Danio rerio: one gene and its partner. The protein of the gene in region 1 purifies or fractionates together with the protein of each later gene. This does not show direct contact. Links are inferred from orthologs where the notes say so. Each region holds a gene or a part of one and is shown on either strand. Other genes may lie near its edges.

Region 1 (4,183 bases):
GAGGTATCAAGACATTTGTGCTGCTCGTTACATTACCAACCACAGGAGAAGGCAAATTGTTCAACAGGATAGCGCTCCTTCTCATACTTCAGCCTCCACATCAAAGATCCTGAAAGCAAAGAAGGTCAAGGTGCTCCTGGAATGGCCAGCCCAGCCACCAGAGATGAACATTATTGAGCATGTCTGGGGTAATATGGAGGAGGAGGCATTGAAGATGAATCCAAAGAGTCTTGATATGCTTGATGATCTTGGGGTATTAGTGCTATATAAATAAACGTCCTTTTCTGTTTTCATACAGCATGTGGTACACTAGTAGTAAAGCCTCTGTACAGGAATTGCAGTAGAAAAATGTAGCAATTTTATACCACTCTCACTTTCAACAGCAATGAAATAAAAATAATAATAAAAGCTCACTGCACGGTGGCGCAGTGGGTAGCACATTTGCCTCACAGCAAGAAGGTTGCTGGTTCGAGCCTTGGCTGGGTCAGTTGGCGTTTCTGTGTGGAGTTTGCATGTTCTCCCCGTGTTGTTGTGGGTTTCTCCTTGGTGGTCCAGTTTCTCCCAAAAACATGTGGTATAGGTGAATGAGTATGTATGGGTGTTTCCCAGTGATGGATTGCAGCTGGAAGGGCATCCACTGTGTAAAACATATGCTGGATAAGTTGGCGGTTCATTCTGTTGTGGCAACCCTTAAAGGGACTAAGCTAAAGAAAATAAATGAATGTGTTTCGTTCTTTGAACACAAAATAAGTTATTTTGAAAAATGTTGGAAACTGGTAACCATTGACTTCCATACTATTGGTTTTTCCTATGGAAGTCAATGGTTACAGGTGTTAAACGATGTTGAAAACATATTTTCAGTATTTGAACGTGGTTGGACTATAGCTTTAAGCAGTCGAAAGAACGCCCACATGACAAGTTTGTAGCAATATTTGTTTACAATACGCAATATGAATTACATTGTCAATAAAAAAATATAAGAGAGAGAAAGACAGAAGAAAAAATGAATAAAGAACATGATATAAACTTGAGCATAAGACATTTAAGTATCAATAACAGTACATAAATTAAAGTCATTACAAAATGAAATAAGGAACGCCCACATATTGCATTGCAGTGAACCCACCTCGTTCTAAAGCAACGTGAGATGTACGCCAATAATAATCCTCCTTACTCAAGAGGGCGTTCGGTTTGTGTCTCTCTATCCAATCGGAGAAACTCATGTTGACACTGTTCTGCGCATGCGCAAGCTCCACCTGCTCATGTGTTTCTTGCGCAGGCTCCGGTGGAGGTCACTGTGATCATTCAGCGCAGCGGGTAAGTGCTCACGTTTTAGGAGACTTACATTTAAATGCGAACTTAAAGCTTTTGTTTTACTCACAAAGCATCGGTAATTATAACGCGACAGTATGAAAGTGAAATAAACACGACGTGTGGGTGTTTGTTGGCGTTATTGCATGACAGTTGCATCATTAGCGTGTAGCAGGCTAATAAATGAGTGAAGTTCACTACTGCGGATTGTATTAATGCCTGTTAATCTGTGTCACATGTGTTATTGTAATAGCAATTGTTTTTAAGTGGTGTATATATGTGTATATTGTGCAGTTTTACTTGTGATTTTTCCAGTGACCGGTTAGAGTGAGATCAGATTAGCACGTTACATTGATGTCAGTGTCACTGTCAGAGTCAAGGCTAAACCGGCTAGCATTGGTTTGATTACCCAAGGGCTCTATATGCACAAGAGATCACCCATGATGAGATACTGAAGATGAATGTGTTTTCCCCGCAGGACTGTCACTTTGTTGTCATGGCGAAGCTCTTTGAGTCCATTGGGAAGCTGGGATTGGCCTTGGCCATTGGAGGAGGTGTTGTTAACTCTGCTCTGTACAATGGTGAGTTGTAATAACTACTGATGTGTTTTGTAAAACAATGGCAGCAATGGTTAAAGCATTTAATTCCTATAAGTATTCTAATAAGGTCAATTTAAAGGGCTTACACGCAACAAATTAAATTTGTTGTTAATTTTATCCACATTGAGGCTGTCGATAGGTCATAGGAATGCACAATATTGCAACTTTATATTGCTATATTTAGAGTTCCCATGGGTCTTGGAATTTTTGTGAATATCATGAGTTTTAAAGGGGGTCATTTGTGCATATATCAGTTTTCTAAGTGGTTTAAATGCAGTTGTGTGGCAACCGTGTGTGAATATAACCAGCTTGTAATGGTAAAACAATAGTTTTATTATAGTTATTTATTATATTATATTATTATCCAATAGTTTTATTAATAGTATTATAATCAGACTTGATAAACAGTCTGCATGAACACCTTGATTGACATTGTACCTGTCATCAGAGGGGGAAAGCCCGTCCATTAGTGACGATCTCTGCCTCATTAGCATAAACAGCCCTGAGTGAGAAGCAGCCATTCGCCATTAAGTCGCCCTTCCACTGCACACGACAAGCGAAAGACTGGAAGACGTTGAATTTCCAATGGAGAGTAGTCCGGGAGCTGCGTAGAGTTCAGATTCTCTCCGTATGTGGAAAATTTGGATCCGATATGAGCTGCAGAGCTGCTGTTGGAAATATTTGAACTCCTGCGACTACACCGTATACGACCGACCGCATGTGATGTAGTTCAGTGTTGTCCAGGCAGGTCTGTGCGTGCGAGATGAGAAATAGGATTTTTTTTTTTCTTAAATCAGAAAAAAGTCTATATTAAAAAATGTTTTGTTCATAAATGAGTCATAAAAATACTTTTTTTTGTTTGTTTCCACATTCCCGCCAACATTTTTAGCGGTCTGAGTTTCTAGTGTTGATTCATTCATTCAACCATGGTGGACACCCAGAGAGTAAAGGCTCTTGCTTTTGCACTCTTTTATTACTGACGCTGTGAGAACATCTTCTCTCCCATGGTGCACGACAAAACTGAAAGTTCTGTGCGACTGCCACAAGGGGGAGTATTCCGACAGTCGTGTTCAAATGTGATGTGCAGTGGAAAGGCGGCTTTAGAGTGTTCACCTGCTGAAGATAATGACACTGACTATAAGGCACTATTAATGTGAAGTTTTAGATGCGCAAATGAACACTGTAGTCTCCATAGACTGCCTTCTTTTGAGACGTTTCTTTCACATTTTCAGTTTTCACAGAGATCTCCTTAAGTACTGTTAATGAATCTGCCACTATGCTGACGCATTGACATTTATAGCTCCACCTGCCTTTGCACAGAGCAAAAGCTAGTTTACATTTCAAGCGGCAGTCACAAAGAAGCGGCGTAATTTGGACCAAAGCCTAAAAGGGGCAGTTTCAAAATGGTTATAAAGCAATATTTATTTTTCATCCTGCAAAAAAGGATCTTAATAGTTCATTTTTAAAATGTTTATTTCAGATATTTAAAGTCATGGAAATTTTTTTGTCCAAGTCGAGGAACATCTAGATTTTGCTTGTCAATTTTTATTTTACTTTTCATTCATCAAATTACATTTATCGAATTGCACTTTATGTAGCCCGTGTGTGTGTGTGTGTGTGTGTGTGTGTGTGTGTGTGTGTGTCTGTGTGTGTCTGTGTGTGTGTCTGTGTGTGTCTGTGTGTGTGTCTGTGTGTGTGTCTGTGTGTCTGTGTGTCTGTGTGTCTGTGTGTCTGTGTGTCTGTGTGTCTGTGTGTGTGTGTGTGTGTGTGTCTGTCTGTCTGTGTGTCTGTCTGTCTGTGTGTCTGTCTGTGTGTGTGTCTGTGTGTGTGTGTGTCTGTGTGTGTCTGTGTGTCTGTGTGTGTGACTGAGAACTCTAAATCATGCTGTTTTTTGTTTTTTTTTAGCAGGTGTGCTTGTGTGGCCGTTTTATTTTTATTTTTATTTTATTGTTCATTTCATAAAGCACAACATTTCTCTATGAGTTCTCTGCCCGCTGCTATGTTGTTTGTGTGTTTCTACAGTAAATGCACAGGGACTTCAAAATGAACTTTTGGTGCTTAACACCTTTTTATTGGTCTTTTTATTTTTCTGCTCTTTCAAAAATAAGGTCCAGGATTTAGATTAAAAGTTACTTGTAAATATTTTCTCTATTTAACAACAGTACAGTAGGTCAGTAGTGAAAGATGGCTTCACTTGCGTCAGATTTTGCTTGGTCTTAAAGCTTTCTTAGATGGGTTATTTCACAATTTATAATGGCATAGCAGACAAAATA
Region 2 (4,218 bases), about 25 Mb from region 1:
GTAATGCAAGGACACAAGCGTTACATTTTGTGAACTACTTGAGAAAGTTCTCAGTTTGGGTCAGAATCAAACTAATCGGTCTTCTCACCTGATGTCTGGGGCGACCCACGATGGATGGGAAGACAGCACGGGGAGCATCATCTCCAGCGAATCCGGCTTTGCACATACCGGATCCGTTGTCAACAACCAGTGCGGCAATTTCATCATCCATGGCTGAACTGTAAAAGAAAGGGAAACTGTTAGAATTGCACTGCTGCCAGGGAGAGGCGTTTCAGCAAGCATGTGACCATCTGGAGTCAACTTCCTGTTTTGCTCTGCATTCTACAGTCTGACCGCTGGTGGGCGCTAGTGACAGCGCGCGCCTCAGATATGCCAGACAAAGGAAGTCCCTCTGCATTCTCTCATTATTACCATAAAAGGCAATGGTTTGAGCCGCTTTGCGGCTGCCGGCGGTGTGGCACTCAGCCAGAGTCGTAGGGCTCAGTAAAAAGGAACAGATTTCGACATTCATCACACCAGGACCACTCCCTAAATTTTACACAAATGAAGTTTCACATCCTCTTCCACCCTCGCCTGCGATCAATTACACAACCGCATTTCAACGGGTGTCTGCCGCCGGGTGTTACTGCGTCACAGATCTGCAGTCAGTCCACGGACTCCTCGTGAGCGGAGACTTCACACTAAAGCATTTCTGGACGGTCACTCTCAGTCGGTTCAGTTCATAGTCTAGCCTCAAAAATCACCGAGATCCTGAAAAACTGATGGGCTCTGCTTCGACAGTCACAGCGGCTGAAGTGCAGCCAGAGAACTCCGCAGCCGTTATTAAAGTGGACCACACCTCTAAAATTCAAATCTTTCATAGCGGATACAACACTTCACTAACGTTAACGTTAATCTTCAGCTTCATTAAAGACAGAGGGGGCTGCAGGCTACATTTAAATAGAACACATAACAAAAAGAAAATTAACCAAGTTAAAACTAAATGCCAATACCCGTTACTAATAACAAGATCTTCGATCTTATAAAGCACGAATGAGCCGATGTTAGATTGATGGGGTTTACGTTACATCAGATGAGAGCTGGTTAGCCGGCTAGCTAAAGTAGGTCACACCCTGCTGCAGCACTGCCTGCACAAAGAACTTCCCATGCCGGCTATCCATCAAGTGTGCAACATGCTCACCAGCACCCTCAAAACTGTAGTTAAAAATCACATTTATGGCTGTTAAAGAGAGATTAGCCAGAACACAACTTTATATTAAGACTTAACACCCATTTCACACCGGCCTATTCAATGTTCAATGTCGTGCCTACGACTGGTCACGTTAAATTACCGACATTCTCACCTGCCACATCCACTAACGCTACAAAAAAGTTAAGATACAGCCAATATTTATTAAATGTAACATAGATTATCAAAAGAACCACCACTTATAAATCAAACCTAGTAGATAACTACAAAGAGACCGTTATGAACTGTCTAAAGACTTCATCAAATCATATTTATCCATTTACACATTTTACTTAACATTAATAGATAGAAACTATAATTAAACGCTTAAAAACTGTAAAACCAACTCACCTTGGGTTTGGGGGGTTGTCGACTTAAGAGAATGGGTTACAAGCAGATGATATTCCGCACTAGCTGCGTGTGGAGGAGCTCAAAGTGAGGCTGAAAAGCTGGGCGCGCTCTTTTATATGACGGCACATACCCGGCTCTAGCCATAAAAGGTAAACTTTCGGAGCTCTGTGCTCTGATTGGTCCAGCGTCACACACCCGGCTGTCGCGTGCACATTGCTACACTTGCTTCTTGCAACTTGAGAGTGAAAGAAGGGGAAGCTTAACTGGTTAAAGAACAAGGCCATGGCGATTTCCTATAAAACTGGAATTTTTATTTGCAAATTTTAACACAGAATTTTTCGTATTTTTCTGCGACAACGCCAAGACTCAATTAAACTTTTCAAAAAGTCTGTGCAGAGTTACAAGTGGCAGAATGCGTCATAATGATGGATGCCTCCATGATCCTGTGTTGTGTTTTCAATCTAACACAACAGCAGCTCTGTAGGTCATTTACCTCTTGTGTTCACGAAATACCGTAATACAAACAATGGGGGATCTAATGAGTACTTTTCCATGTATAAAATGGACATTTTTTTTATCCAAATTAGGATGACACTACTTGTAGTATGTTGTATGAGCAACTAGCTGGTCTTAGCTCAGTAGTAATGCACTTTAAGAAAGTGCTTTAATAACTTTGAATGAATGGGACCTGCATTCCATGCCACATTGCTTCACTATTTTTGTGTGTACAAGTTACACAATGATGTATAAAGTGAGTGATAGCAGTTACATTTTTGCAAGTGGGCCTACCTCAGGTTTAATGTTCATTAGAAATGTTATATGTCAAGTCTTGATCTTAAATAGTTAAATTTTCTGTTCATAATTTCATGTCGTGTCTATGCAGACATAACATTTCTTTTTAAAGAGGTTTATAAGGATAAATCCTAAGAACATAATTCTCATTAAAAGTAGAAAAAAAAAACACTGAAAGTGTTGGTGATCAGCTACAATAAATAATATTTTGCACACATTTCAGATATTGCCACACTGAATAACAGATAAAGCTGTGCTTGAGCAGCAGTGATCATGATAAACTACATGTGACTTTTTACTGTGTAACTTGGGAGTAATGCACATGGCCTTCAGTGGGAGTTATAAACAAAAACAGCTGATTGTGTTAAAAGTGCTTGCTGATACCAAGGACAATGAGGTGATGTGACTTTTATTTTGTTTTTGGCAAATTCCAAGTATTTTGACAAGACTTTTTACAATTCTGAGCATTTTACCTCTAAAATATGGAAGTTTCTCAGAGTAAACGTTGAGTATAGGTAATGACTAGGCCCACACAGAATCTGTGCGCACAGAAATCTGCAGATTTCCCCAGATCTTTAGCCCATCATTGAGTTTATTTATTGACTTGTGTATTTGGATTTGCTCTTTAGTGTTTGGACTCTCAGCAGTAAAAATTAACTCACACTGAACTAAACTGAACTGAACTTAAACTCTTAAAAAATGGACTGACACAGTTTCAATTTACTATACTAATCCTCTAAGTTAAGCTGCTTTGACACAATCTACATTGTAAAAGCACTCTAGAAATAAAGACAAAGGTGTAAATATATGTTTATTCAGTTTTTAAATACATTTCCGTAATATTATTGACTAATATGAAAGTGTTCATTTGATTACAATATGGTCTGAAAGTAATGTTTTCTGTCTTTTAGAAGATATATTATGTGAGAGACTTGCTTTGTCGACCAAATAATTGGATCTAGGTGGACTTGCATTGTATATATTTATTAAAAGTTAAAAAGGTATTATTTTTTTTTATTTCATATAGTAAGTTTTTAGTTACGATACTCCCGAAAAAATCTCGCATAAATCACAGATTGTTTACAAAATTCTCTGCAGAAAAAGCAAAAAATGTCAGCAGATTCTGTCTGGCCCTAGCTATGACCCAACAGAGCAAACAGAATAAATACAACGAAATTTAATATACAGCATCAGATATAAAAGTGAATGTTTTATAGCTGTTTGTGTATAGAAAAAATGAGAAAAAACAGACATAAACAGCATCATAGTATGAATGTCTAAAAACTTGTTATCTGCAAACTGGATACTCATCAATAAGGTCTCCTCCTTCCATCCCCCAACATCTTTTCAAAGAATGCCAAGCATCCATCCACACCCCCCTTTATAAACACACAGGTTTTTATAAGATAAGCAAATATTTAGCACCAATCTGTGGTTAATGTGATGTAACACACAACAAACAATGCATTCAGCATATCCAGTCAATTCTATTTTTTAACCAACCATGCTTCTCTTTGTAACTTTTGTAGATTGCACAGGGGATCTTGTTACAGCAGATGTGCTTTTGTGAGTCCATAGTTCCCCCGAGGACCACCACCCTTCCCTGATAGCAGCCCACTACAGCCTTCCCATTCATCTCTAAATAAGGTACTGTCCTAATGAACCTCAGCTTTGCCCCATGACATAAGATTTCCAGAGCAATAAAGTGTTGTTGACTGTCAGTGTGATAATGTCATTGTCCTTTAGAATGCCAAAGTCTCTTATCTCAATTCTGATACCAAAGCTCTCCCAGTACACCATTCATGCATAATGATAAGAAACATATTTATGAAGTTGTTCTCAAAGGA

The links. The genes of interacting proteins can lie anywhere in the genome.
Region 2: the proteins of phb (region 1) and actb2 purify together in Homo sapiens (affinity purification with mass spectrometry; 4 studies listed by BioGRID and IntAct, with this or other methods). This does not show direct contact. The link is inferred for Danio rerio from reciprocal best matches to the Homo sapiens genes PHB1 and ACTB.

Annotation. Positions count from the first base shown.
Region 1 is NC_133178.1:14,401,039-14,405,221, forward strand, and holds the start of phb (prohibitin 1), read left to right. Parts: upstream 1-1,291; 5' UTR 1,292-1,317; intron 1,318-1,789; 5' UTR 1,790-1,807; coding exon 1,808-1,892; intron 1,893-4,183.
Region 2 is NC_133178.1:39,482,382-39,486,599, forward strand, and holds the start of actb2 (actin, cytoplasmic 2), read right to left. Parts: upstream 2,908-4,218; 5' UTR 2,895-2,907; intron 1,670-2,894; 5' UTR 1,580-1,669; intron 219-1,579; 5' UTR 212-218; coding exon 89-211; intron 1-88. UniProt on the Homo sapiens protein: Actin is a highly conserved protein that polymerizes to produce filaments that form cross-linked networks in the cytoplasm of cells.